3 linked regions of the Oryctolagus cuniculus genome follow. The protein of the gene in region 1 purifies or fractionates together with the protein of each later gene. This does not show direct contact. Links are inferred from orthologs where the notes say so. Each region holds a gene or a part of one and is shown on either strand. Other genes may lie near its edges. The genes, in order: LCK, SH2D2A and UNC119.

The links.
Region 2: the proteins of LCK (region 1) and SH2D2A purify together in Homo sapiens (co-immunoprecipitation; 3 studies listed by IntAct, with this or other methods). This does not show direct contact. The link is inferred for Oryctolagus cuniculus from reciprocal best matches to the Homo sapiens genes LCK and SH2D2A.
Region 3: the proteins of LCK (region 1) and UNC119 purify together in Homo sapiens (affinity purification with western blotting; 3 studies listed by BioGRID and IntAct, with this or other methods). This does not show direct contact. The link is inferred for Oryctolagus cuniculus from reciprocal best matches to the Homo sapiens genes LCK and UNC119.

Annotation. Positions count from the first base shown.
Region 1 is NC_091438.1:140,189,550-140,198,618, forward strand, and holds the end of LCK (tyrosine-protein kinase Lck), read right to left. Parts: coding exon 8,944-9,069; intron 8,854-8,943; coding exon 8,674-8,853; intron 5,986-8,673; coding exon 5,909-5,985; intron 5,817-5,908; coding exon 5,663-5,816; intron 5,590-5,662; coding exon 5,458-5,589; intron 1,569-5,457; coding exon 1,366-1,568; 3' UTR 935-1,365; downstream 1-934. UniProt on the Homo sapiens protein: Non-receptor tyrosine-protein kinase that plays an essential role in the selection and maturation of developing T-cells in the thymus and in the function of mature T-cells. Plays a key role in T-cell antigen receptor (TCR)-linked signal transduction pathways.
Region 2 is NC_091438.1:41,984,262-41,993,815, reverse strand, and holds the start of SH2D2A (SH2 domain-containing protein 2A), read right to left. Parts: upstream 6,053-9,554; 5' UTR 5,944-6,052; coding exon of another isoform or gene 5,921-5,943; coding exon 5,910-5,920; intron 5,811-5,909; coding exon 5,683-5,810; exon of another isoform or gene 5,679-5,682; intron 5,376-5,678; coding exon 5,215-5,375; intron 4,547-5,214; coding exon 4,362-4,546; intron 3,921-4,361; coding exon 3,831-3,920; intron 3,653-3,830; coding exon 3,484-3,652; intron 584-3,483; coding exon 431-583; intron 301-430; coding exon 19-300; intron 1-18. UniProt on the Homo sapiens protein: Could be a T-cell-specific adapter protein involved in the control of T-cell activation. May play a role in the CD4-p56-LCK-dependent signal transduction pathway. Could also play an important role in normal and pathological angiogenesis.
Region 3 is NC_091448.1:44,058,891-44,068,755, reverse strand, and holds UNC119 (protein unc-119 homolog A), read left to right. Parts: upstream 1-3,335; 5' UTR 3,336-3,413; coding exon 3,414-3,633; intron 3,634-5,669; exon of another isoform or gene 5,670-5,693; intron 5,694-6,877; coding exon 6,878-6,991; intron 6,992-7,446; coding exon 7,447-7,549; intron 7,550-7,668; coding exon 7,669-7,841; intron 7,842-8,088; coding exon 8,089-8,201; 3' UTR 8,202-8,667; downstream 8,668-9,865. Other genes in the region: PIGS (GPI transamidase component PIG-S), read left to right, coding at 1,096-1,306, 1,641-1,916. UniProt on the Homo sapiens protein: Involved in synaptic functions in photoreceptor cells, the signal transduction in immune cells as a Src family kinase activator, endosome recycling, the uptake of bacteria and endocytosis, protein trafficking in sensory neurons and as lipid-binding chaperone with specificity for a diverse subset of myristoylated proteins.

The sequences.
Region 1 (9,069 bases):
AAAATGCCATTGACCTCACATCGTGGGGTCATGTGACACACCCACTCCCAGGAGGCAGTGAGGAGCACTGTAGTATTTGAAGGGGCATGCAGAGTCCTGGTGGTAGAGCTAAAGGGACCTCCTCTTGGCCCCAGCGTCAATCACCAGGGCCAGCAGACTTTCGGACATCTGCTCATTCCATCTGTCACCGTGACTCAGCGTGTCCAGTTTGGTGTCTTGTTTGCTTTAAGATTTATTTATCAGGCCTGCACTGTGGGGTAGCGGGTAAAGCTGCCGCCTGCAGTGCTGGCATCCCATATGGGCGCCGGTTCTAGTCCCGGCTGCTCCTCTTTCGATCCAGCTCTCTGCTATGGCCTGGGAAAGCAGTGGATGATGGCCCAAGTCCTTGAGCCCCTGCACCGGCATGGGAGACCCAGAAGACGCTCCTGGCTCCTGGCTTCAGATCGGCGCAGTTCTGGCCATCACAGCCAACTGGGGCATGAACCAGCGGATGGAAGCTCTCTCTGCCTCTCCTTCTTTTTCTGTGTAACTCTGACTTTCAAATAGATAAATAAATAAATAAATCTTAAAAAAAGATGTATCTATCTATTTGAAAGAGTGACAGAGAGAGAGGGGGAGATACAAAAAGAGAAGAGATCTTTCATCCACTGGCTCACTCCACAAACTCCTACAATAGCCTAGGCTGGGCTAGGCTGCAGTCAGGAGCCAGAAACTCCATTCAGGTCTTCTACATGGGTAGCAGGGATCTAAGGACTTCCAGGTGCATTAGCAGGAAGCTAGAAGGGAAATGGAGGAGCCCAGATGTGGGTGTCCCAAGCAGCAGCTTAATACACTGCACAACACCCCAACCCTGGGGTGACCCAGTTTCTATCATGTGACCTCCCATTTACCACCCCCCCCCCCAAGAAAGAGATACGGAGTGCACAGCAGAGAGTTGCATCACCTTCATCAACAGACATTTATTGAGCCCCTAACAGGTGCCAGGCACCGACAAGGAGCACACAGAGGTATTAGATAAGGTCCTAACCCTGAAGGAGCTTCTGGAGGGCTTGGGCAAAGACAAGTGGGCAGGCAGAAGCTGGTGTCAATCACAAGACTCTCTCCTGTCTCTGTGGTATCAGGAAGTAGGAGTGCTTAGAAAGACACACCTTGGACAGTGTCGAAGGCATCCATGCATAGGCTACACATGTACAAGACACATGTGCAAAACCCATGCAACTCGGGATGTATGTACAAGCACAAGATACATATGTGTTGCACGTGGGCAGGACTCATGTGCAGAGTCCATATATGCATAGGCCATGTGGTTTTGGCACAAGAACTCCATCTCCCCAAGCCAGGCTGGCATGAAGGGGAAGGGCCTTCTCAAGGCTGGGGCTGGTACTGGCCCTCTGTGGCCGTGAAGAAGTCCTCCAGCACGCTGCGCAGGTAGTCAAAGGTGGGCCGGTCCTCTGGGCGCTCTTTCCAGCACAGCTTCATGAGGTGGTACAGCTCCTCTGGGCAGTTCTCAGGGCGCACCATGCGGTAGCCCCGCTCCAGGTTCTGGATCACTTCAGGATTAGTCATCCCTGGAGGTTGATGGGAGAAAGGACATCAAGGCTTTAGAATTTCGAAGCCCACAGCCAAGGGTGATGTTTAGAACCTGTAACTGGCAGAGTCCGAGCACCAGTTCAAAAGGATTTTGGTCTTCTTCAATGGTAAAGCCATGCTGGCAGCACCTGCTGATGTCATTCACACCACCTGACTACCTAATACAGCTCAAACACTCAATTAGCACGCACATTTTAGCTGTGGGTCCATGGACAGCAACCTTACCTCTTTTTTAAATAAAAAAATGGGATTTGTTTATTTAATTGAAAGGCGGAGGGGAGGGGGAGAAACAGAGAGCGGGATCTTCCATCTGCTGGTTCACTTCCTAAATGCCCACAACACTCAGGGCTGGGCCAGGCCAAAACCAGGAGCTAGGAACTCCATCCTTCTCCCCAGGGTACTTGGGCCATTATCTGATGCCTCCCAGGTGCGTTAGCAGGAAGCTGGATTGGATATAGAGGAGCTGGGACTCAAAGTGGGACTCTGATTTGGGATGTGGGTATCCCAAGCAGTAGCTTAACCCACTGTGCCACAACGTGCTCCCCCCACATCTCCTGCCAACCTCATGTCTTTGGGCCTGAATTTCCTTATCTGGAACACAGAGTAAGCTGCTGCTCCTCCCTCCCAGAGTCATTATGATGGCTGAACGAGGTAGTGTGTATGAAGGCCCAGTTAGGCGCTGCTTCACCAAGGGAAATTGTGATTATGATGATGACAGGTAGGTCAGGACCCAGGGCAGGATGGGAGCCCACAGCCAGGAGAGTGGTGAGGTTTCTCCCACTCTGGGACCAGGCACATGAAATGTGAGTCAGGAAGACAGAAGGGCCCAGGCCCAGAGAAGCAGGCTCTGCCTGGGACTGAGAAGGATCACCAGGCCCCTCCATGACCCAGACCAAATAGTCTTTGGGTTGGTTCCCTCCTTTTGTGCTGGTCTTGTTCCCCCAGGCAGGCTTCTTGTCTCAGGAGAACTTCTCTGGAGGATTGCAAGGATGTAATTCCTTGTTTTCATTTCATTCTTTTTAAATGTTTGTTTATGTTCATCTACTTGAAAGGCAGAGGTTCAGAGGCAAAGAGATATCTTCCATCTGCTTGTTCACTCCACAAACGCCTGCAACAGGGGGCCGGCACCGTGGCAGGGTAGCCTAAGCCTCTGCCTGAAGCGCTGGCAACCCAAATGGGCACCATTTCATGTCCCAGCTGCTCCTCTTCCAATCCAGCGCCTTGCTCTGGCCTGGGGAAGCAGTGGAAGATGGTCCAAGTGCTTGAACCCCTGCACCCATGTGGAAGACCTGGAAGAAGCTCCTTGCTCTTGGCTTTGGATCAGCCCAGCTCCAGCCATTGTGGCCATTTGGGAAGTGAACCAGTGGATTGAAGACTTTTCGGTCTGTCTCTCCCTCTCTCTGTCTGTAACTCTACCTCTCAAATAATAAAGAAAATCCTTAAAAAATTAGGAAAGAAAGAAAAGAAAAGGAAAAGAAAGAAAGTGCTGTCCCTGGGACAGAGAGAAGCTTTAAAAATAAATAAATAAAATTTTAAAAAATGCCTGCAACAGCCAGAGCTGTGCCAGGCCAAAGCCAGGAGCCCAGAACTCTATTTGGGTCTCCCACATTGATGGTAGCAGTCCAAGCTCTTGAGCCATCAGCTGTGTCAGAAGTGAAGTCACTGGGACTCAAACTGGCACTCCAATATGGGACACAGGCCACATCGCCCACCCCGGTTCCCTATCTTAAAATTATCCATGTATCCTCTTGCATTTTCTTCACTCTCCTGAGAGAAGACTGTGACAAACAGATCTCAAAGGCCAAACCCTTATAGGGTCCCAGCAAAATACATACACTGAAGTTTGGCTCCTGCTAAGCTTGGGGCTAGACCTTTGTCAATACAGACTCCTCTTCCCCAGCCCTTGCCCTTGGATGGCTCCTATCTCTGGATTCCTCACATTTTAAAATCCAGGAAGTAGAAGACGTAAGCCAGGAAACCAAACACGAGAGTCAATGATGCCAACCATCAGCTAAACCCAGCTTGAAGATGGCCCAGCTTGCTTTGGACCAGGTAGTTGATTTTCCATTTGTTTGTTTCATTTGCAAGATCAGGGAGACAGAGAGACACAAACAGCCTCCCCATATGCTGGTTCATTTCCTCAAATGCCCACAATGGCCAGGGCTAGGCCAGGCCAAAGCTGGAAGCCAGGAACTCAATCCAGGTCTCCCAGTGGATGGCAGGGACCCATCCACTTGAGACATCACTGCTGCTCCCATTGTCCACAGTTAGTAAGCTGGAGTCAGGAACTGGAGCGGGACTTGAACCCAGGCACTCTCATGTGGGGCATAGGTGTCCTAACTAAAGGCTTAACTGGTAGGCCTAATGCCCATATGGTGTTTTTAAACAACTTGAGTCAATTACCAATATTTGGAAATGAGTAGCTTTTCCTAAAACTCCAAGTTTTGGTCTCTCTTGGAAACACAAAAGATCTGGTTTTCAGATGCCCCTACCATAAGTGACAGCCATCTGCTGGGGCAGATGCAAGTTCACTAAGGTCCCCATGTCTCCCCATTCTCCCAAACCCTAGTGCCACGTGTCAGTTGCCTTTGATCACGGGGCTTTCACTCTGCAGGAACAATGGAGGAGCAGCAGGGGGCCTTGGCAGGACCTCTGGTGTGTGGTTCTAGCTCCAGCACTGCCTCCGGACTCTGATGGGACAAAGCCACGGTCCTTCAACCTCTCACCTGACCCCACAGAGCCTTCCTAGGAGCAAAGTTCTGTTCACATTGCTCTGAGATGTGCGAAGCCTCTGCAAATCCAGCCACTGGGCTCCATGACCTCCCTACTCCTGTTTGTGTGTTCAATTTCCCTTCCTCAGAGTTCCCAAGCCAATTCCTTTCAAAACCTTCCATCTCTGTCCAGGCTGAATGCAGGGAGGTGGGGAGGGGGGAAGCATTTCAGGGGAGGGCGATTGGCTGTTTACACATCTCTCTTCCTCTTTAGAAGGCAAACGGAAGTCAGTGTTCAGTGAGCACCTCCTATGAGCCAGGCTTTTTACAAATAATCGCTTGTTTTTCAGGAAACTGAGGCTCACAGAGGTGAAGTGACGGCCCAAAGTGATGATTAATAATAGCTCAGCATGGGCCAGTCACTACAGTGATCTCACACTTAACAGATGGGAACAGGAGGGGTGATCTAGGACAGGCATTTGACACAACAGTCAAGTGTGGCCACTTGGGGTAGCTGCATCCCCCATACTGGAGTGCCTGGGTTTGAATCCCTGGCTCCACTGCCAATTCTAGCTTCCTGCACATACACATTCTGAGAGACAGCAGGTGACGGCTCAAGTAGTTGGGTTCCTGCCATTCACACAGAAGACCTGGATTGAATGCCATCTCCTGCCTTCAGTCTGGTTCAGTCTCAGGTATGAGGGCATTTGGGGAGTGAACCAGCAGATAAGAGATTTCTATCTAACTATGTCTGTCTGCCTTTCAAATAAACAAAATAAATAATTAAAAATTTATTTTAAAAAAGAGAAGGAATGGTCTGATCAAAACCAAAAAGAAAGTTAGCATCAGTTGCAGATCTGGTAATAAAAGACAAGCCTCTTGCCTTCCAAACCAGATCCACTTCCACCATACCAGGCTGCCTGTGCCAGAACTAGAGAGAAGAGCTGGGGTTCTAGAAGGGAGAGATTCAGAGACAGAGATGCAGGCTGGCCCCGGGAGATGTGGCATCTGTTAGGGAGGTTGGAGACAACCCTGAGAAGACAGAGGAGAAGCAACCAGAGAGTTTCAGGTTCTGAGCCTGGGAGGAAGCGAGTGGGAAGACATGGATTTGCTGGCCTTCCCCATCGCCCCTTTCAGTCCTGTCTTTGGTGCTGACCTGGGTAAGGGATGCGGCCATGAGTGACGATCTCCGTCAGCAGGATCCCAAAGGACCACACATCTGACTTGATGGTGAATGTCCCATAGTTAATGGCTTCTGGTGCTGTCCACTTAATAGGAAACTTGGCTCCTAGGGAGAAACAAAATGTGTGTGCTTAGCCAGAAGGTACAGGCCCCAGACCTCCCTCACGCCCCACACCTACCTTCCCTGGCTGTGTATTCATTGTCCTCAATGAGGCGCGCTAGGCCAAAGTCTGCAATCTTGCAGCTCAGGGTGTCAGAAACCAGGATGTTGGCAGCCCGCAGGTCCCGGTGGATATAATTCCGCTCTTCAATGAATGCCATGCCCTCTGCAATCTGCAGGCCAGGTACAGGTCAGTACTCCTGGGCCTGACAGCTTCACCCCACTGGCCTGTGCCCAACGCCCAGGCCCTCTTTAGCCTCCTTACTTGGGCTGCCATGTCCAAGAGTTTGTTGATGGTCAATTTGATGCCTGTAGGGGTCTTGAGAAAATCCACTAAGCTCCCTGTAGGCAGAAGCAAGAGTTGCTGAGCCAAGTTGCCCTAGGGGGAGGCCCTCAGACCCTTGTCCCCCAGCTGGGGGTCTAGATGGATGAGTAAGGAGTGCAAATGGAGAAGCTTGTTCAAGGTGAGAGGCCCAGGAACATGAGGGGCTTTTTCAGGGGACAAGGTGGGGGCCCTGTTGGAGGGGACTGTAGGTTTCTCATCACCATGAGGGTATAGAGTCATTCAAAGTCCTGCGTGGTCCACATTTGCAGCTTCTCCTTCCGCTACCGGCCTCTTTCACTCCACCCATCAACGACAACTTTGAGATCCTTCACACAGACCACTGGGCTCACCTCTTTCTTTCATATCTGCCTGCTAAAATTTCTTTCTTTCTTTTTTTTATGTACAGAGTTAAGTTACAGAGAGGCAGAGGCAGAGAGAGAGGTCTTCCATCCACTGGGTCACTGCCCAAATGGCAGCAATGAAGCCAGGAGCCAGGAGCTTCTTCCAGGTCTCCCACACGGGTACAAGGGCCCAGTCACTTGGCCATCTTCTGCTGTTTTCCCAGGCCATAGCAGAGAGCTGGATCAGAAGAGAAGCTGGGACTCGAACTGTGCCCATATGAGATGCTGGCACTGCAGGCAGTGGCTTTACCAGCAAAGCCACAGCACTGGGCCCTGAAATTTCTACTTTCCTTTCTTCTTCTTCTTTTTTTTTTTTTTTTTTTTTTTTTTTTTTTTTTTTTTTTTTACAGGCAGAGTGGACAGTGAGAGAGAGAGACAAAGAGAAAGGTCTTCCTTTGCCGTTGGTTCACCCTCCAATGGCTTCCGCGGCCGGCGCGCTGCGGCCAGCGCACCGCGCTAATCCGATGGCAGGAGCCAGGAGCCAGGTGCTTTTCCTGGTCTCCCATGGGGTGCAGGGCCCAAGCACCTGGGCCATCCTCCACTGCACTCCCTGGCCACAGCAGAGAGCTGGCCTGGAAGAGGGGCAACCGGGACAGAATCCGGCGCCCCGACCGGGACTAGAACCCGGTGTGCCGGCGCCGCTAGGTGGAGGATTAGCCTAGTGAGCCGCGGTGCCGGCCCCCTTTCTTCTTCTAACCCAGTTGGGCCACCCTTCCTGAAAGTCTCTCTGGACGCCAGCAGGCACCACAAATTGCAGCATCATCTGCCTTCCCATGCACACTGGAACTTTTCCATGACTTGAGCTCTGGTTTTCTCAGTGCCAATTACTAAAATCGGGCTTTCCAGGGCTGGTGCTGAGGTGTAGCAGATGAAGTGTCTGCCTGCGGCACCAGCATCCCATATGGGCGCCAGTTCGTGTCCTGGCTACTCCTCTTCTCATCCAGCTCTCTGCTTATGGTCTGGCAAAGCAGTGGGAGATAACTCACGTGCTTGGGCTCCTGCACTCATATGGGAGACCTGGAAGACGCTCCTGGCTCCTGGCTTCAGATCGGCCCAGCTCTGGCCATTGCGGCCATGTGGGGAGTGAACCAGCGGATGCAAGACCTTTCTCCCTGTCTGAGTGGGCTGCATACGTTGGGTGGGGTGTGGCAGGAAGGACACTCTTTGGTGGGGGGGGGGGTGACTGGGAGAAGACCAGGATAGGAGTTGCTGGAACACAGTCAGTGACCACTGGCCCTTTCCAAGTGATTAAAACTCTGTGTGCGAATGACAACGAGCACGTGCCCCAGTGCGAGTGGCGTGCTGAAGCAGTCATCAGAGATGCAGGCCTCACCCAGCCCCAGCACATGCAGGGACACACGCTGCCATTCCTCCTCGGTCGGTGGCAGACAGTGCTCATCAACCCCCACGCTCACCTCCAGTGAGCCCGAGACTCCTTCGCAAGCCTTCGCTCCAAAGCTGGCGTACCTAAGATCTAGGTGACTTCCACGACCCATGAGCCAATGAAGAGTTTGCTTCCCTTCATGAAAGAGGGGCAGACCTTGTGTTCCCAAAGAAGCAGAGCCGGGTCCCTGCCTGAGCTGCTAACACGGAGCAGGCACTGTGCTAAGGGCTCTCCGTAATTCACCTTCGTAGCCTCCCAAAGACTGTGAGGAAGTGACCCCTGTCCTGGTCCCACCGTTTTACAGATGTGGAAACCGCGACAGAGAGGACTGACGTGATTAGTGCAAAGCCATCCAGGGCTCTAACCCAGGCTCCCGAGCCTTTAAGGAACACCCGGTGTGACTTCTGGGCCAGCCCGTTTAAACTTCTGCTTTATTCCTTAGGATAACTGTGCGCTAGATGCGGTACAGGGACGTGGCCTGTGTCACACAGCAAGTCAGTGGGAGCAAAGCTGAGCCTAGGAGCTGCTCCCTGTCTTTTTCGGACTCTTATGCTATTCCACAGCAGAGCTACTGAAGTAGGAGCTCACCCAAAACTGAAAAAGAGCCATTTGGGACAGAACCACCACCACCCTCCCAACTCTCAGAGGTGGGAGACAGAAACGGGGTCAGGGACCCACTTCACTCTGGGATCAAGGCAGAGCTTTGAATCAGGGGGGATGCTGTTCCAGAGCCTGCCACCTTGCGCGGGGGGCTTCCACAGAGGCCCCAACGACAGCTCGCCCCACCCCTGGAGCTGAGTCTTGGGAGCCCCCGGAAAGGCCTCTAGCTCTGGGCGGGAGGAAACAGCGTCTCCCCACCCTCCAGCAGGGTCCCAGGGGCCAGCGGTGTTCCCCAGCGAGCATGCGCGGCGGCCGCCCACCGTTTTCCATGTATTCCGTGATGATGTAGATGGGCTCCTGGGTGACCACCGCGTAGAGCCGGACCAGCCGCTGGTGCTGCAGCTGCTTCATGAGGTTGGCCTCGGCCAGGAAGGCGTCGGGGGACATGCTGCCCTGCTTCAGGCTCTTCACCGCCACCTTTGTGTGCCCGTTGTAATAGCCTGAGCCGGGGGCCAGGGTAGTCAAGGTCGCGGGACCGCAGCAGACGCCCCCGCCCCGCCCCCCAGGCCGTGCCGGAGCGCCGCACTCACCCATCCACACCTCCCCGAACTGTCCGGCCCCGAGCCGCTCCACCAGCTTCAGCGTCTCCCTGGGAACCTCCCATTCGTCCTCCCACCAAGGCTTCTGGGGCTTCTGGGTCTGGCAGGGGCGGCTCA
Region 2 (9,554 bases), about 98 Mb from region 1:
CCCTGCACTCCTGCTTACCTGGCCTCCCGGGACCGGCCTGGACCAGCACTTCCGGAGCATGGGGTGCCCGGCCGTGGCGGACGGCACTTCCACCTCCTCATAGATGTTGCCAGGGGCCTCCCTGGGGCTGCCCTGGCCCATGGCGTAGAAGGCTATGGGCTCATCAGGCTCGTGGTAGATGGGGTTGGTGGGCTTGGGGGGTAGGGCCGGGCGGGGTCGCGGAGCAGGGCTTGTGTAGACTTCCGGCGGTGGCTGGGGTTTGGCAGGCACAGGAGGCTTGGGCCTGGGCGGCTGGCAGAGCTAGCCAGAGAGCAGGAAGAGTCCGTGAGAGTAACTGAGGCAGGGCCAATCTCCTTCCTGTGCAGGCTCCGCCTCCTCCCTCTGGCCCCACCCCAGCCCTGCCCCCACCCTCACCGCTCCTGCCCAGTACCTCCTTTGGCTCCCAGGCCCCCTCTGTCCGTGTTGGGGCCGGGGCCTGCCCCTGCTTGATGACTGTGCTGTACTGGGGGTTTGGATCCTGGCTTTTGCCTCCAGAGTCTGCCTCTTCAGTCCTCAGGGAAAGTCCCGCAGGCTCCGGAGTCTGCTGGGGAAGAAGGAGGCCTGAGAGACGTGGTGCCACGCCTGGCAGGATGGAGGGTGGGCAGGTGACCCTCGAGGTCCAAGTGAGGGACGGCGGAGGGTGAGATGGACACAGAAATTTGGCCTGGGCTGGGTCCCGTAGGGGAGAAGACGGAAGAGGCCAGGGAGGTACAGGCTCTGGGCACAGGCTGGAACTGGCATTGAACTTGATTTCATGTGGAACACAGGGCCAGGCCAGTCTGCATTTGTGCCTGTGCTTGTAAAAATGCAACAAAGAGAGCAGCGTGGTGGCGTAGTGGGTTAAAATGCCTCCTGTAGTGCCAGCATCCCATGTGGGCGCCGGTTCATGTCTCAACTGCTCCACTTCCAATCCAGCTCCCTGCTAATGCACCTGGGAAAGCAGCAGGAGATGGCTCAAGTACTCGAGACCCTGCAGCCACATGGGAGACCTGGATAAGGCTCCTGGCTCCCGGCTTCCACCTGCCCCCCCTTTTCTCTCTCTCTCTCTCTCTCTCTCTCTCTCTCTCTCTTTTCCCTCCCTCCCTTTCTCCTGCTCTCTCTAACTCTGCCTTTCAAATAACTGAGTAAAGCTTTAAAAAACGTGACAAAGCCTTAGGAGACTTTCTACGAAGCGATCAGCCCGGGGACCGACCTGTACGACTGCTGAGCCTGCGTTAATTTCTGCAGGGGGGAGCAGGTCACATGTGGAGATACACCGCTGCATCAGGGACGCAGCTGGCCGGCCTCATAGCAGGAAGCTACCGTCCTGCAGGTGTGCTTCTAGCTCAGTGTTAGCCCCAGGCTCGAATGCCTGCTGCCTTTGGTAGGCTAAGGCCACAAGGCTTTTTCTCAGGCTCCTGCGAGCCACAGGTCTCCATCTGGGGGTGCACTGCAGGCTTAAGGGGTCCAAGTCAGATTTCTCTCTCCATGCTCCCCACCTTTGCCCACCCATCCCAAAGGAGCCCCTCCTCCCTGCTATGCAAACAATGCCTTGGGAGGCAGCCCTGGCACCTCCGCCTCAAATCCAGGGCGGGCCGAGCTCTCTTCCCCTGCCTGAATGCCTCTCACATGGGCTGCCTTCCTCCAGCCCCGCAGCCACCATGCTTGGCCAGGCCTCCTCCCCGATGCTCCTGCCTGTCAAGCCGTTCTCCAGGCTTGGGGCAGGGGTGATCTTACACAGACGCCCTCACAGTCCTCCCGTGGCTGCCGCTGCTCCGGGATAAATGGACTCCTGAGAGCCTGAGTGACTGGCACAGTTCCCCGAGGGCCGCATGGCCTCTCCCTCACCACCGCCTCCCTGCACTCAGTTCCTGCCGCTTGGGCGTCTTCGGGTCTCTGCCTCTTCCTCACCATTGGCACTCTCCCCACTTCTTTTGAGTTGACCCCAATCAAGCTCCGTGGAGCTGCTCTCATTGGAGTCACCAGTGGCTTCCTCTCTGAAATCCAAGGTCAAGTCCTGAGCTGCCACGGCCGCTCACCCTTGCTGGGCTGGCTTGGCTGCCGGAGCTCCGAGCCGTCCTGGTTTTCCTCTCGGCTCTGGCTGCTCGGCTTTCTCTGCAGGTTCCCCTCGTGTGTGCAGGCTGCAGGTGCACATCTTCCCTCCTCCTCCATCGACACTGACTGCGGCAGACCCCGCCCCAGCCCCAGCCCCAGACGCTTCAGAGCCCCTCTCCGCGCTGACGACTGCCCAGCGTTTATCCCCGGCCCAGGCCTCAGACACGTGGACACCCTTGTTTGCATGTTGAACAGACATCCCGAGCTGTGCATGTCCCAAACTGAACTTCCCCCATCGCCCACCCCTGCTGGACCGACTGCTCCTACAGCTGTCCTCATTCAGACAATGACAACTCCACCTTTTCACACTTCTCTTCCAATGCTGCAAACAGCCCCGCAGCTCTGCCTGCTGTGCAGGGCCACGCTCCTCACTCCTCCACGTCGGCTGCCCTGGCCCCGGCTGCCAGCACCTCGCCTGACATACGGCAGGAACCCCACGTCTAGCAGCCTCCTCCTCACCTCTCCTGAGCTGCCAGGTCACACGACTCCTCAGCTTGCCACTCTGCAGAGTCATCCCCCACCCCCCACTCGGTGTAACCTTCCAGATCCATACAGGCCCCCTTCCCTCACCTCCCTGTTCTCGTCTCCTACCTGCCTCGCCCTCAGCCGCCCCGATGCACCCCAGTTAGTGATCCTCCAAACACATCAAGCACCCCCAGGGCCTTTGCACCTGCTCTTCCTGCTGTCTAGAGCACGTTTCCCCCAGTTCTCTGCAGGGCTCCTTCCATTACTCCATTCAGGCCTCTGATGTCCCCGTGAGAGTGACCTCCCTCGATGTCCCTGTGTGAAACAGTCGCTCCCTTTCCCATTCACTACTGCGCACTGCTTGTTATCTGCACCATTTGCTGTCTATCTCCTCCGAGGGAAGCTCCGTGAAGGCAGGGATATTTCGTTCAGCTTCGCTCACTGCTGTCCTCCCGGTGTGCAGAACAGTGCCGGTACACAGCGCCGCTCAGAGCTGCTGAACTTGTAACCAGGGAGGCGTTCCCTGCGGGCTGTGTGGTTTCTCCCGGCTGCACACTGCGTGCTTGGTTCCTATCAGTCTTTGCTTCCTAAGAGAAAGCTTTGTGCGTTTGAAACCTGTCTGCCTTGTCCTTGGGTCATTCCCAGGGCCTGCCGGCGCTTGGTGTGCCCTCCCCACCCCTCCTGTCCATGTGGCTGGGCTGGTCTCTCAGGGTCTCTTCTGCCCCGTTCTTTCTCCAATGACTTCCCATGGTGGTGAGTAGGCAGGGGAGGTATGACTGGGGCCACAGCCCTGGGCCTGGGCTCTGGGTGGGGAGGATCATGGGCCTGGGTCCTTGGGTCTTGGGTCAGGTGGGGGGGGGGCGGGGCCAGGGGTCGGCGGCGTACCTGGCGGGCGAGGGGCTCCGTGAGGGTCTCTCCGTAGGGGCTGAGCGGGCAGGCCGAGTAGTGCTGCAGCAGGTCCTGCAGCCGCGTGTGGGCGCTGTCCTCGCCCAGCACCACGTGGCGCCCGTCCGCGAGCTGGGCCAGCAGGAAGTGGCGGCAGCAGGTCCGGCTCCTGGGCGGCACCATTCGGGGTTAGATGCTCTCCCTCCCTGCTGCCAGGGCCAGCGGCTGGAGGTGTGACCCTTAAGCCCCTACCTACTCTGTGATAGGGTCCACACCAAGCCCCCCCACCCCCCACCCCCCGCCCCCGCATCAGTTATCCCGGAGCCCTGCCTCCGCGCCCTCAGCACCTGTACGTCAGCACGAAGGTCACGGCGCTCTCGCTGAAGCGCACCAGGTAGCATCCCGGAGGCTTGGGCTCCAGCAGCCTCTCGGCCTCCCTGTGGGTGTCAGAGAGAGGGGGCGGAGCCTTGCTCTGACTCATCTGCCGCGACTTCTGTCTCCCTACTCTCACCAGGGATCCCTAACTTGAGCAAGGGCTAGGGTGCAGGTAGGGAGAAGAGGGCGCTTGGGTCCGCGTGGACGGGCTGGGATCCTACTCCGGAGACCCCTGAGCCCTGCAGCCTCCAGGAGCCTCGTCCTCCAAGGGTGGCTTGGAGAGAGAGGGTACACTGGAGCCTAGAGAGGGGAAACTGAGGCATGGGCACGGTGTTGGGCTGGAGCTGCTCCAGTGCTCTCCAGGAGAGAGGTTTCCGTGTAAGCCCAGGAGACCCTGGGAGCCAGTGCCTGGGCTGGTGGCCTCCGTCTCCCCCTGCCTGAGGACCCGAGACTCTGCTCTGGGTCTGCCCCTCTTCAGGCCTCTCTCCACCCCTGTGACTCACTTCCGGGTGATGAAGCCGTGGAACCAGGCAGGGGCGGCCCCGTCCTGCAGGAGCTGGTGGGCCTGGGTCCTCTGGAACCAAGCCCGGGCCTCGGCCTGCAGGGTCAGGCCTCCTTCTCCAGGCACCTCCTCAGCTCTCTCTGCTGGCGCTGGGATGGGGGCAGCCCCCGAGGCCTGGGGCCATACCTGGACAGGGGAAGAGGAGAAGGAGGGGAAGTGGCCACGATGGAGGGGCCGTCCACTGCCTCCGTGCCGGCAGCCGCCCTTGCCCTCCTGCCTGTCCCTCCTGGCTAGTTCAGGCCCTGATTGCCCAGAGGAGCCTCCTGAGATTACCGACTCAAACTTCACTCCAGCGGCCTGCTTCCCAGACTCTCGCCCTTGCCTTGTCTCTGGGTCCCGGGGGCACTTGGAACCGTGGGCTGGTGCACTGCTCCAAAAGGCTGAGGGGCAGCAAGGTCTTCCCACGGGACGGAAAGCCATGGGGCTGAAGGGAGTCACCCCAGAGGCCTCGCTGAGCGAGAGTTCCCAAGGACTGTGTGGATGGAAAGGGCTGGGACGGCACCTGGGAGAGGCTGGGCACACCAAGACACCTGCTCCTGCCACGCAGGGCTCTGCACCTGGCCGCCTGTGGGCTCGGCTGAGCTTCCCAGGAGCAGAGAAGTGGCGCGGGGCCAGCCCGGCGTGGGAAGGAGGCACTGCCCGCCATCTTTGTCTCCCTCCAGGCCCCTAGCCTGTTGGCACCTGCACTTCATCCCAGCTTCCTCTCCTGCTGACCTTGTCCACCTGCTAGTCCTCACCGTGGAGGGGTGGGAGGAGACGAGGGAGCTGCACGCCCACCCCAGGGTCCCACTCACCGTGGTGTGGACAGCCAGGGCCCTGGGGCTGGGCTGGGCTTCCTCGCCCCTCAGGGCCTGCAGTCTGGGCCTGGGGAGCAAGCCAAGGCCCTGGCAGCTCCCGCGGGTCGAGTCCATGGTCTGGGACGTGCTGAAGGTTGGGCTGGGGGCTCCGTGATTTCCTGTTAGCATAAAGGGGTGCTCAGGGGGGGTGCTGCCTCTCTCTCTGCCTCCCACCCCTCTCTGCCAGGCTCAGAGGAACCCCACATTCCCCGAGCAGAGGCCTGGGGACAGGGAGACGCAGAGGGGATTTGTCAACCCTGAGGAGTAGGGAGCCCAGGGGGCACAGAGGGACGGCGGCTATCAGAGGGGGCGGCCAGGGAAGCGGGGTGCCAGGAGGGAGGGCTGGGAACAAGGCTGGGAGCCCCCCAGGTGGAGAGGTAGCTCCCTTCAGAGCAGGCCCTGTTTGGGCCTGGGATCCTCACCTACCGTGCACTTCGTCTTCTTGCTCCCTCGCCTTGCCTGCCTTTGCGCCCAGGGAGGATGGGCCCGGAGCTCCCCCAAAAGGGAATGGGGGAGGGGGGCGAGCTCTCTCACCCCTGAGGTGGGCGCTCAGGCTGAGGAGAGAGAGCAAGGGTGGTGGCTGTGCTGACGTCTGTCCCCGCACTGACGTCTGTCCCTGCACACCGAGCCCCGATCTTGAACATTGCACTTACCTTGGGGGCATATCTGGGCCAAGGGCACCTCCATGGGGCAGCCTATGAGGGGCCCCCAGCACAGGGTGGGTGTCTGGGCTCGCCCGAGGTGTGCATGCTCAGCAACTCCTTGCTCCCCTCGCCCTAGCCCCCGGGACAGGAAATGTCGCCTCACCCACAGCCCGCGCCCGCCCGGCAGAAGACTCGCGTCACGGAAAGCACTGAGGCAGGTGTCCCGCCCCCGGAAGTGGGGCAGCTGACGGTGGTGCAGTGGCCTGGTGGGGCTGCTGTTCCTGTCACTTGGTGTTGACGTGTTGGGAAGTCCTGGCTGATGTCTGCTCTCCACCCCTCCAGATGCTGTCTCTGCGCCCCAAGCCCAGGCTCGGACTTCCTTTTCTTTCTTTCGTTGTCTCAGCTTCTGACTTCTTCCTGGGAAACCTCCCAGTCTGGCTCTCGTTCTGCTCTGAGCGGTGGGAATGGGGAGCTTCTTCTGGGTCTCCTACACAGGTGCAGAGGCCCAAGAACTTGGGTCATCTTCTACTGCATTCCCCAGGCCGCAGCAGAGAACTGGATCGGAAGGGGAGCAGCTGGGACTTGAGCTGGCGCCCATATGGGATGCTAGTGTCACCGGCGCAGGTTTTACCAGCTACCCACAGCGCCGGCCCCTATGCCTTTTCCTTAATGCTAGGAAGTACAGAGAGCAACGTCTTGTCCTATATAGCTAACTCCAAGCCAGGGATTTTGGAATGAAGGTGGTGATTGTGGGAATCCAAGGAGATAACACACACAATGGAGTGAAAAAATATCTTTAAAAAATTTGTTACTCCTATCATTTAAAAAAATCTTTATTATTTGAGAGGCAGAGTGACAGAGAGAGACAGAGATCCTTCATCTGCTTGCTTCGCTCCTCCCAAAGGCCTGCAGCAATCAGGGATGGGCCAGGCCAAAGCCAGGAGCCAGGAACTCCATCCAAATCTCCCATGTGGGTGGCAGGGACCCATGTCCTTGGGCCACAATCCACTGCCTCCCAGGCACAGTAGCAGGAAGCTGCATCAGAAGTGTGGAGAAGCCAGGTCTTAACCAGGCACTCTGATGTGGGTGCAGGCATCCCAGTAGATGGCTTAACCCACTGCACCACAATGCCTACCCCTGTTTCTACCCGTTGCAGTAAGGGGACAAACTGATGAGTTTTTCCTTTTACCTTCCTACCCTACGTGTGCAGACTTGACCCATAGCCCACCATTGCCTTGTCTAATCAGTTATGATTTGGTAAATAACTGCCAGGGCCTGGCTTGGTCTTATTTGAGGATCTCCTGTCACCAGTTTACAGGTAGGACCACTGAGATCAAGACTGAGACACACAGATTCAGAGAGCAGGTGTTTAGGCTGGTGGTTACGACTCCCACATCCTGCATCAGAGTATCTGGATTCGATTCCTGGCTCTGGCTCCTGACTTAGCTTTCTGCAATGATGACTCAACCGACTGGGTTCCTGCCACTCACACAGGAGACCTAGGTCTTGTTCCTGCTTTGAGTTCCCAGCTTTGACCCCAGCCCAAAGCCAGCTGTCACAGGCATTTGAGAAGTGAACCAGTGGATGTTGAATGTGCTGCCTTTCTCTCTCTCTGCCTCTCAAATAAATAGAAAATAGTAAATAATTTTATTTTTAAAAATTTCTTAAAGATTATTTATTTGAAATACAGAGTTATAGAGAGGCAGAGGCAAAGGCAGAAAGAGAGAGAGAGAGAGAGAGAGAGAGAGAGAGATCCTCCATCTGCTGGTTTACTCCCCAGATGACTTCAATGGCTGGAGCTGGGCTGATCCGAAGCCAGGAGTCAGGAGCTTCTTTTGGGTCTCCCACATGAGTGCAGGGACTCAAACAACTGGGCCATCTTCCACTGCTTTCTCAGGCACATTAGCAGGGAGCTGGATCAGAGTGAAGCAGCTAGGACTCGAACAGATGCCCCTATGGGATGCTGGCGCTGTAAGCAGAAGCTTTATCCACTATGCCACAGAAGTAGCCCCTGAAAATAGTAAATAATTTTACAAAGACTCAGCTTTAGTCATACAATGAGAACATTAATCTGAACCTGAGGCTTCCATGTGGGACTTTCTTTCTTTCTTTCTTTCTTTCTTTCTTTCTTTCTTTCTTTCTTTCTTTCTTTCTCTCTCTCTCTCTCTCTCTCTCTTTTGATTCATTTATTTGAAAGTCAGAGTTACACAGAGAGAGGGAGGCAGAGAGAGAGAGAGAGAGAGAGAGAGAGAGATCTTCTATCTGATGGTTCACTCCCCAATTGGCTGCAATGGCCAGAGTTGTGCCGATCTGAAGCCAGGAGCCAGGAGCTTCTTCCGGGCCCCCAACGCGGGTGCAGGAGCCCAAGGGCTTGGGGGCATCTTCTACTGCTTTCCCAGGCCATAGCAGAGAGCTGGATCGGAAGAGGAGCAGCTGGGACTAGAACCGGTGCCCATATGGCATGCTGGAGCTTCAGGCCAGGGCTTTAACCCACTGCATCACAGCGCCGGCCCCTGCTTTCATGTTGATGACAGCTGAGGAGAGCAGAAAAGGAGCAGGGCTTTCAACGCCTTTAACTATTGCTGGAGCAAAAGAGCCCTGTGTGGCTTTCCTTGGGAAGATCAGTTTCAGGCTTCAAGAAAACCAGAATCTTAGGGGCTGGTGTTGTGACAAACCGGGTTAAACTGTTGCTGGCGACAACAGCATCCCATATCCAAGCACTGGCTCAAGCCCAGCTGCTCCTGCTTTGATCCAGCTCCTTGCTAATGCACCTGGGAAGGCAGTGGACTATGGCCCAAATACATGGGTCCAGGCCACCCCGACCTGGATGGAGTTCCTAGCTCTTGGCATTGGCCTGGCCCAGCCCTGGACAGTGCAGCCATGTGGGGAGTGAGCCAGAGGATGGAATCTCTCACTTTCTGTCTCTCCCATTTTCTCTGTGTCACTCTGCTTTCTAAACAAGTAAATCTTTTTTTAAAATTTATTTCCCCCCAAAGAAATCTTTTATTTAAGGAATACAGACTTCATGCATTTCACAAGTACAACTTTAGGAATATAGTGATTCTTCCCACCATACCCGCCCTCCCACCCACTCTCCCACCTCCCCTCCTCCCTCTCCCATTCTCCACTAAGATCCATTTTGATTAACTTTATGCACAGAATACCAACTCTATACTAAGTAAAGTGTTCAATAATTTGCATGGGGAAAAAAACAAAAAACAAAACAAAACAAACAAAAAACTGTTCCTCAACAGTTGAGACAAGAGTTGTTCAAAGTCATTGTATTTTGAAGTTAATTTCACTTTTTTTCCCCCTAGAAACTTAGTTAAATTTAAAGAAGCACCCAAGAGTGATAAACTTTTGTGATTATTCAGACTTAATTATAATGCAACTCTTTGAGATTAGAGGTCTTGATGGGAAGTTAGTGTATGGTGACTCTTGTTGTTAATTTAACAATTAACACTCTTATGTATGACATCAGTGATCATCTGAGGCTCTTGACATGAACTGCCTAGGCTATGGAAGCCTTTTGAATCCACAAACTCTGTCAGTATTTAGACAAGGCCATAAGTAAAGTGGAAGTTCTCTCCTCCCTTCAGAGAAAAGTACCTCCTTCTTTGATGACCACTTCTTTCCACTGTGGTCTCACCCACC
Region 3 (9,865 bases), on another chromosome or scaffold:
GTCCTCTGTCTCCCTGATGACCTGAAGTTGGCCAGCTGCCCCCTGAGATCGTCTGCTGGGCTGCCGAGAAGGGGGCTGCCGAGAGCAGAGAAATCTCACTTGGCAGGAATGTCTTGGCTGTGTCTAGAGCCCCAGGGAAACTGAGAAAGGTTTCCAAGGAGCTCTGTGTCCTCCTCTTGAGGAGGATTAGCAGGTGACAAAACCTGTTTTAAGAAAAATAAGTTCATGTACTTCAGATCCCTGGGGTATGATTAGGGGTGCTTAAGAAGATAGCTGGCAATTCTTACGCGAACTGATCCACTGAGAGTGGCAGTCTGAAGTCCTGTGTTCTGAAGTTGTGTCTGGGCTCACCAGGAGAGTGTTCCGAGTGATTAGTAATGTCTGTCGTGGGTACAGCTTACAGAAGCACAGCACATGTGCCATGTCAAAGGTGGGCTTGCATCATCTCTTAACACCAAGTCCCACTGGCCCCATTTGTCCAAAGAGAGTAGAAAGAGTGAGGGAATTCAACGGAGTTGGTGTTAGAAATACTTTTATTATAGAACCTTTGTCCTTTGTTTTTCTTTCTTTTTCTTCTTTTTTTTTTTTTCCAGATTTATTTTGTCTATTTGAAAGGCCACAGTGGCTAGGGCTGGGTCAGGCTGAAGCCATGAGCCCAAGCTCCATCTGGGTCTCCCACATGGGTATTGGGTCCAAGTACTTGGGCCATCTTCCATTGCCTTCTTAGGGGCATTAGCAGAGAGCTGGATCAGAAATGGAGCAGCTAGGACTTGAACTGGCATCCATATGGGATGCCAGCATCACAGGTGTTGGCTTTATCCACTGCACCATGGAACTTTTTTTTTCCCACAAGATTTTGGAAATCTAATAAAGAAACAGTGGAAATGCAACATTCTGGTTGAAGCAGGGACTGGGGGCTCTGGATTGCTTGGCGTTGCTGCTCACCTTCCGAGACCCTGAGACACTTGCCACAACCCCTGTGGCTCTGGATACGACTGAAAATCATTGGCTTAGAGCAGGTATTACAGGAATCCTAGTCACAGCCTCCCACCTTCTGGTCTCAGCCACTTTGATCTTCTCTCCCTGTTTCTCCAGACTGCTTTTTGGGATTGCTCAGCCCCAGGTGCCTCCAAAATGCCTGCTTTCAGGGCCCAAGAGTGAAGGGCTGATGACATGGGAGCTAGACCGGCTGCTCTGGGCTCGATCGGTGGAGAACCTGGCCACAGCCACTACCACCCTCACGTCTCTGGCCCAGCTCCTGGGCAAGATCAGCAACATTGTCATCAAGGACGACGTGGCATCTGAGGTAAGCAGGCCTAGGATTGGAGTGGCCAGTGAGGCCCAGGGTGTGGCAAGACCAGAGAGCCAGCTGAGGCCTGGGATGAGTGTGGGCGTGCCACCCATGGTGCCCCTGGCTACCTGCAGACAGCCGTGCCAGCTCCCCAGCAGGAGTCACGATCGGAGAGAGGGTTCAAGCTGGACCTCAGAAAATAAGCCGCAGCCTTGTTAGCCTGACCTGCATAGATCCTTGGTGAACTCCAGGCCCCCTCCCTGATATACAGAAGGCCCAGTAAGGCCCAGTCCCCTTCCCCGCAATGGCCCAGGCCTTACTGCTAACCATCGTCCCCTCCCCTTCCTAGGTGTACAGGGCTGTAGCTGCAGTCCAGAAGGCAGCAGAAGAGTTAGCCTCTGGGCACCTGGCGTCTGCCTTCGTCGCCAGCCAGGAGGCTGTGACGTCCTCTGAGCGGGCCTTTTTTGACCCCTCGCTCCTCCACCTCCTCTATTTCCCCGATGACCAGAAGTTTGCCATCTACATCCCGCTCTTCCTCCCCATGGCCGTGCCCATCCTGCACTCCCTGGCCAAGATCTTCCTGGAGACCCGGAAAAACTGGAACAAATCTGAGAAGACAGACTGAGCAGGGCGGCATTTCAGCAGAAAGCCTCGCTTCTGGCCAAGGCGGGGAGGGTTCAACAGAGGCACGTGGATGGGGCTTCGGGGAGGGACTGACTGACTCTCCAGCAACCCAAGTACACCACTCCAAGATGGGCTCATCTTCCCTCCGCTCCCCAGTCCCTTGGCTCAGGTCCCTTCCCTACCTCCTTATCTGACTTGAAGGCCTCTGCCTGTCTCCCTGGAGGCGGGGGCAGCTCGCCTCTGCATAAAGCAGGGGAAAACCCTGGATTAGATTCTAGCCTGTTCCCCTGCGTTTCTCTCTGACCGCAGCAGAGGAGAGCGGTAGCGTTGCTGTCACGGACAGGGTATGGCACAGGTCACCTCCAGGATCTTCTGCCTGATTCCTCTCCCTTCTGGCTGACTTGTTGGGTACAGCCTGACCGGAGCCCAGGATCTGGTGCTGTGTGTAGCAGTTTCCCTTCATGCTTGCCGAGAGGCAGTGTGGTAAGTTCTAGACTCGGAATCAAACAGGCCTGAATTCATATCCTCGCTTCTGCAGTATTGTTTGGGGAGCTTTGGATAAGCCACTTAATCTCTCTGAGCCTGTTTTCCGTTTGTTCAAATGACACTGATGATACCTCCCTTCCAGGGCGGCTGTGAGGATTAAATGTGATAAGCACGTGAAAGTGTTTGCGCTCCGTTTGGCTCTTAGTACATAGTGAGTTTACTAGAAGTGGGAGCATGACTGTCGCTCTTTCTTCCTCCATGTCTAAAGGTTTTCTGATAAAGTACTCCTGCGCTCACAGGCCCACCTTGCCTCCACACGGCCATGTGCTCTTCCTGTCTCCAGGAAGTCCTGGAACAGCTCCTGCCTTTTAGTACCGTGTCTTGGAAAGAATAGCTTGTGCCAGTGTAAGCCCTCGGATACTCTTTCATCAGTTTGAAGAAAAAAAAAAAAAATGTTTTGAGCTGCCAAGAGCACTGTGCTAGGCGCTGGGGTATACAACAAAGCAGACAGGATCTCTGCTTTCACGGAGCAGGCCTGTCAGGGGCAAGAGTCTGAACACATAAAAATAATTTCATAGTGCTTTAGAAAGAAAAAACACCAGACTGATCAGATAGTGACTGGGGGAGGGAGGCCTTAGAGGCGATGACATTTGAGCAGAGTGACACCAGAAGGCTGGGATGAGAGCAGCAGTGGAAAAGGATCCCAGGCGAAGGCCCTGGGACTGGAACTCGCCAGAAGGGCAGAAAGACTGGGACACAGCAGGTAAGAGCACTTAGGACCTCCAATACTTCTGAAAAAGTACTCAAAAATGAACAAAATCCAGGGCAGCCCCCGTCCGCCCTAGGTCGTCCAGCCCTGGTGGGCGTGGCCCCACCGGGCCCGCCCTGGGGGCGGGGCGGTACCTGGGGCCCCGGCCGGGGGCGGGGCTGCGGACGCTCCCCCTTCCCCTGGCTCCAGCCAGCGCAGGCAGCGGCGGCGGCGGCAGCAGGCGAGCTGCGGCCCCGCGAGGCCATGAAGGTGAAGAAGGGCGGCGGCGGGGCCGGGACGGGGGCGGAGCCCGCTCCGGGGTCCTCGGGCCCGAGCCTGGAGCCCACGCTGGATCCGCGGGCTGAATCCGAATCCGGGTCCGAGTCGGAGCCAGAGGCAGGCCCGGGGCCCAGGCCGGGGCCGCTGCAGAGGAAGCAGCCCATCGGGCCGGAGGACGTGCTGGGGCTGCAGCGGATCACGGGCGGTGAGCGCCGGCGAGGGAGCGCCGCCCGCGGGCGGGAGGGAGAGCGAGCCGGGAGGGGGCCTGCAAGGCGCGCTGAGCCCCGGCCCCCGCCCCCTTTCTCGCCTCCCCTCCCCCACCAGGCCCCTCGCCTGTGTCCCCTACTCTACTCCTCTCCCTTCTGCCTGCAAGCCTGAGATCTCTGGGTTCCCCTTCCCTTGATCTCTCGGTACGCTCCCCCTCTTTTCTCTGGAGGTTTATTTCTAACCCATTTCTTCCCCTTTGAGAGTCTGTCGCTTTTTTTGGTGGAGGTGGGGCAGCATCTGCAACAGGGAGTCTTGGGGCTGGGAGGCCCGTCCGCACCAATGAGGGGGGTCACGTGCAGGGTGTCCGCCCACGCTGGGGGCCAGGGGGAGGCTGTTCCTGAGCCCACAAGACCCTCGGGTCTCCCTGAGCATTGGTGCCCCCATCCCATCTTCATCCCCAGGAGGGAACGAGCAGGAAGCGTCATTGCGCTGGCTGTGGGCCCTGTCATGGGAGCGGGTTAATGCCCCCCAAGCCTGTCCTCTCTGATCCCTTCCACCGTGGGTAGGAGTTTCTGAGTGTAATTGACTGGGTGACCTTGGACAAGTAGCTACACTTCCCTGAGCATGTTTCTTCATCTGTAAATTGGGGATACTGACACCGACTTCATCAGGTTGCTCTGAAAATAAAGAGCCGTCTGAATCTGAGCTCTGCTTGCACTATAAATAGGGCTCCTTTATCCATGCGTTGAGGGCCCCTCAGGGCTGCCCCTGGCTTCTGGGAGGCAGACAACTGGGCATGCAGGGCAGGGGAGAGGGCCACTCTAGGCAGAGGACAAGGGCCAGGACGCCTCCTGGCAGAGGCCACGGCTCAGCCTTGCAGAGACCATGGCCCTCCACATGGGATCGTTCAGCAGCAGCCCGGCCTGGCCCCCTTTGTGAGCAGCTCTGGGGCCTCTGTGTGGGGATGGGAGGCAGGCACTGGAGTGGACGTGAGCCCTGAGCTGCAGGAGCTGCAGGGCTGTGGAGGGACCCTGGTGGCAGGCCTGAGCATGCCTCTGGCTCCCTGGGGACCCCGCTCCCTCTGAGCTAAGCAGCGGGCATTCTTGTCTGGGCCCCCAGCGCGTGGAGCTCTCGTTCCTGTGGGTATTGAAGGTGGGAGAGGGCTGGAGCAGGCTGATGCTGGTGATGATTGGGCTGCGGTTTGCAGCAACAGCACCCAGTTCCAGCTTAGCTCTGGGACAGACTCCCTTATAGAAAATCGGAGGTCAGGCCGACCTGAGGCCCGGGCAACTTCTGGGGTTTGTTTTGTAACCATAGGAGGCTTCCAGCGCAGGTACTCCCATGTGTCTCCTAATTTGGAGGAAATGTCACAGCCCCGAGAGAAGGGGCATCCGTGGGCAGTGCAGCGGGCAGGTGTTCACTGGAGCCCTCCCTGTGCTGATCAGGAGCTACGTGCCGGTCTCTCCACCCTGCAGCCCTGGGATGGTCTCTTCTGACCCTAATCACACAGGTCTGAGGTTTGCTGTTCCAGGATTACCAGGCCCTGAATCCAGCTTAGGGAGCTATTTGTGGCTGAGGGGAAGGGAACAGTTGTGTTCCGAGCCCTAGGCCATCGTGACCCTGGGCCCCGGGCTGCATCCTCCCCTGGCAGAGGGAGGGAGCAGCCCCTGTTCCACGCTTCCTCTGCAACAGAGGGGTTGGCAGGTCGAGTCTGCAGTAGAAGAGACTGGGGCCAGGCTGCCAGAGGTTGCTCTCGAGCAAGTGGAGAGGCCCGGAGAGGTGGAAGATGAGGGAAGAGAGGGCTTCCTGGGGAGCTGGGAATTGGCTCCCAGGATCCCACTCCCAGCTCTGCCACCTCCCTTCCCTGTGGCCTGCACCGTCTCTCCATGAGGGCTCCCCATGGAGTTCATGGAAATAAGTATGATGGAGTCGCTGTGCATGGATGTCAGACTTCCAGTGCACCCAAGTAAACATTTGATTCCATTTTCCCATGGCCTTTTGAAGTACCCTTGTATACCTTGGGACTAGTGCTTACTTTCTATGAAAATCAGCATGGAGGTAAGAGTTACCCACGCCCATTCCCCCTCCTTTCCCCACCATGGGGCAGTGCTGGGCCCCATGGTCCCAAATGGCTGCCAGGGGGCTTCCTGGAGGGGGTTACCCCAGGCAAGGAGAAGAGGCAGACCTGGGGAAGAGAGAATGACTGTGTTCCCTTCCTCTTCCTGCCCTAGAGGAATAGGAGGTGACCCAGGGGCCTGGAGGGTAGTTTGCAGGCCTCTCGGGGCCACCAGGGGAGGGTGTGGTGCTGTACGGGATGGCAGCATGGGAGCCCCCCTGCACCGCTCTGCTCCTTCCTGTTCATCGGCCCCCTGAGCACCTGCAGTTGGTCAGCAAGAGCAGTGAGGGTTAGATCAGGCCCTGTATGTTCCTGAGCTTCCTCAAGCAGGGCCTGTCTCTGTTCCTGGTTCCCCTTAACCTCACCCACACCCTCTTCCTGGCCTAGACTCTCCTGTCCTCTGTGGGGTCTGGGGGTGCTTTCCCTGTGGCAAGGGGCTCAGATGGGTGGATGGGTGACGTCTCAGGGTCTTCCCTCTGTTTGCTAAGACTTCCTCCTGTTTGGAGAGCAACAGGGGATGGGAGCAAAGTTGGCTCCCTTTCCCCCAGTATCCTAGGCTCTGGGCTTGAGTCAGCAGAGCTTTGGCTAAGCTGCTTAAGAGAGCTGGGCTTGGATAAGCCGCTTATCGGAAGAGAAGGGGGGCTGGGAGAGAAGAAGAACAGAGAAAGGGTTTTGTACCTGCCTTGGCACCCCCCATTGTCAGTGAAAGTCAAATCACAACCATCCTTGCCTGACATATCTGGATGTGGTGGTGCCAGAGGTGGCCATGGACAGGGCTGTGTCGCCCCTTTTAGAGTGGAGTTCCCGAAGGTGGGGCTGTGTCTTCCCTCTTGGACCAGGGGCTCCCACTGGACTGGGCCCATTTGGCACAAAGGCATCCAGCCAGCCTGGCAGAGCTGAGGCTGAGATCTGGACCCTCAACTCCAGGGTGGAGGGGAGAGTGGGGGAAGGGCCCTGACTGTCCCTGATCCGCTGAGGCCAGTAGGATGGGGCTCTTCTTCCAGCTTAGGTCTCCGAGGCAGAGTTCTGTCTCTTCCAGGAGAAAGAGGTAGCTAATCCAGGCACCCACAAACTGGCAGCAGGGCTTTGGGGACCCATTGGTTGCTCAGCTGCCTGTCTCCCCTAGACTACCTGTGCTCCCCCGAGGAGAATATCTACAAGATCGACTTCGTCAGGTTCAAGATTCGGGACATGGACTCAGGCACTGTCCTCTTTGAAATCAAGAAGCCCCCAGCCTCAGGTGAGCAGGCCAGGTGGGCTGCTAAGAGGGGGAGGCAGGCAGGCACTGCAGAGAGCTCTGCCCAGCGACTTCTTGGGCTTCAAAGGAGTCGGAGTAGAGTTGAGGCTCGGATGCCAGGATCGTCCAGGATTTGCAGGCAGCCGGGCCTGTTTTCCTTGCCATACGTTTCTGGACTTGGACGTCTTGCCCCTTCAATCCCTGCCAGCCTGCCCTCTGCAGGCCTTTTTGGGAACTGCAGGCGGCTGCACCCTGCAGTCCACAGAACCTCATTTGAAATCTGACCTAGAACCCGCAAGTGGTATCATCATTTGACCAATGGTTCTAACCCTCCACATGTACTAGAATCTTCTGGGGAGTTGTCAAAAATTCAGACCAATGGAGCCATGGGGAGGAACCTTGGGTGGGCAAGGGCCTCAGCCTGACACCCACTGAGCCCCAGCTGGGGTACCTTGCAGAGCGGTTGCCCATCAACCGGCGGGATCTGGACCCCAATGCTGGGCGCTTTGTCCGCTACCAGTTCACCCCTGCCTTTCTCCGCCTGAGGCAGGTGGGAGCCACGTGAGTCTCTGGGCTGGGGTGCAGCAGCGGGTGAGGGGAAGGGTGGGAGGGAGCCCTTCCTGCCAGCCAGTTGGCTGGCTTGCCGGCCACACTGAGCCCTGCCCCTCCTCCTGCTTCAGGGTGGAGTTCACGGTGGGAGAGAAGCCCGTCAACAACTTCCGCATGATCGAGAGGCACTACTTCCGCAACCAGCTGCTCAAAAGCTTTGACTTCCACTTCGGCTTCTGCATCCCCAGCAGCAAGAACACCTGCGAGCACATCTACGACTTCCCCCCGCTCTCTGAAGAGCTGAGTGCGTGGGCAGGGAGTGTGGGGGGGTGCGAACAGAGACCAGGCTGGGGTGCAAGGGGTCCTGGTGGGTCTGACCCCCTCCCTCCCTCCTCTCCAGCCCCGCCCCCAAGTCTTCTGGATCAGGCACCGTTCCCACGTCACCTGTAGAGAAATGGGCAAAGTGGCTGGGAACTCAGGTGCCCCTGTCCTGCAGGGGCCCTGCTCCAGCTCCTGACCTTTGCCCTTGCCTGGCTGGGCCTCTCTTGCAGTCAGCGAGATGATCCGTCACCCGTACGAGACACAGTCTGACAGCTTCTACTTCGTGGATGACCGGCTGGTGATGCACAACAAAGCAGACTATTCCTACAGCGGGAACCCCTGACCCCAGCCGCAGCAGGCTCTGGACCCTGAGCCGGGACCTCCCCAACCCTCACCTCCCTACTCCAGGTGTTCTGCCTGGGGAGTGTTCGCGGATCCCCGGCCGTGGAGTCCGAGTCGGGAGGAAGGGTACCTGCTGTCTGCCAGCCACGCCCCTCAAGCGTGTGGGGTGGGGTGGCAGGAAGGCCTCTTGGGAGAGGAGCAGCCAGGACTTCCAGGCAGTTTCAGGATAGGTTTCCCTCCCCAGGCTGTGACTAGGTCAGGGCAGGATCCATTCCTTATTGCCTGCCCACCACCATCAGGCCATTTAGAGTCGAAAGTTCACAGACACAGATCCACAGTTGGGATCTGGCCCCATTGGCGGCTGAGACACTGCCTCAGGCCTAGGGGGGGACTGGCCCCCATTGCAGCCTATGGTAGGAGCTGGACCAACTGTACATAGTTTTCAATAAACTTTCTCCTTTTCTGTTCCCTGGTTTGGGCCATCTGCGTGGGGGGTGGGGGCAAGCAGTGCTGTCCCAAAGTAGTGAAAATCTCCCACCTCCTAGTGCCCTGTGACCCCAGTCCTCGTGCCCTCTGAGCCTCTTCGCCCGGACACCACCCTTAGCATCCAGAATCCATCTAGAAGCAATGTTTTAAGTCTGGTGGAGCCACCAAGGGTTTCTCCTGTGATGATGGAGACTGGCTGCGGGAGGGGAAGCACTGGCCTGGAACCAGCCAGTCCTGGCAGCTGAGTGGAGAGCAAAGGCCCCCAGCTGCAGCATGGGAGAAGGTGTGGGGAGACGCCCTGCCCCCGCCTCGCCCCCTGACCTCCGTGAGTCTTCACTGGAGAAGGCTACAGGGCTCAGCTGGGCCTGCCGCCATCTCTGCCCTCTGCTGTGTTGGGGAGCTCCCTAGCCTGGCCAACCCTGCCCCTAACACTGCTTTCTGCCTCTTCTCCTGTCCCAGAGCCAGAGGAGAGGGGCATGAGGTAAGCAGAGAGCTCACTTTGGGGTTCAGGCCCCCTTTGGAGGCCCCTGGTGCCGCATGCCCTCTGGGGACCTCAGAAGGGCTGGAGTTCAGCTGGTTCTGGGGAGCTCTCGCTGGGGGCCGGGATCTCTACTGACCTGGGTTCTAAAATGAGTGGGACACAGGGCAAAAAGCCTGTCCCTGGAACAAGCTGGCCTGGGTATTGTGGGAGAAGGCGCTCGTAAGCCCAGGACAGGAAGAGGCAGGAAGACAGCATTTGCACACTGAGGCTTGGAGGCAAGATTTGTCAGGTTTGTTTCAGCAGGAGTGAGTGTGACAGATCCGTGGAGCCTCTGAGCCAGGTGGGGAAGCCCCAGGAGGATTAGGTAGGAACAACTTGGTCAGATGGTCTCTGGCTGCTGGAAAGATTGAGACTAACTGAAATAGCTAAGAGCTGGGAATGCAGACCCAGCTGGGAGCTTTACACGTGCCTAGGTCATGTCTGAGAAAGGAAAGGTAGGCCCAGAGAGGTTAACTTGGCCAGCTGGTGTTGCCCAGCTGCTAATGGGCAGGGGCAGAGTTTGAATCCAGGCAGCCTGGCCCCATGCGCTACCATGCTAGAGACAGGGCAGTGTGTGTGTGTGTGAAGGGGGGGGGGGTGCTTGCAGGATTTGGGTGAGTGTTGAAGGGAACTTGAATTGGGTCAGCATCCCAATTCTG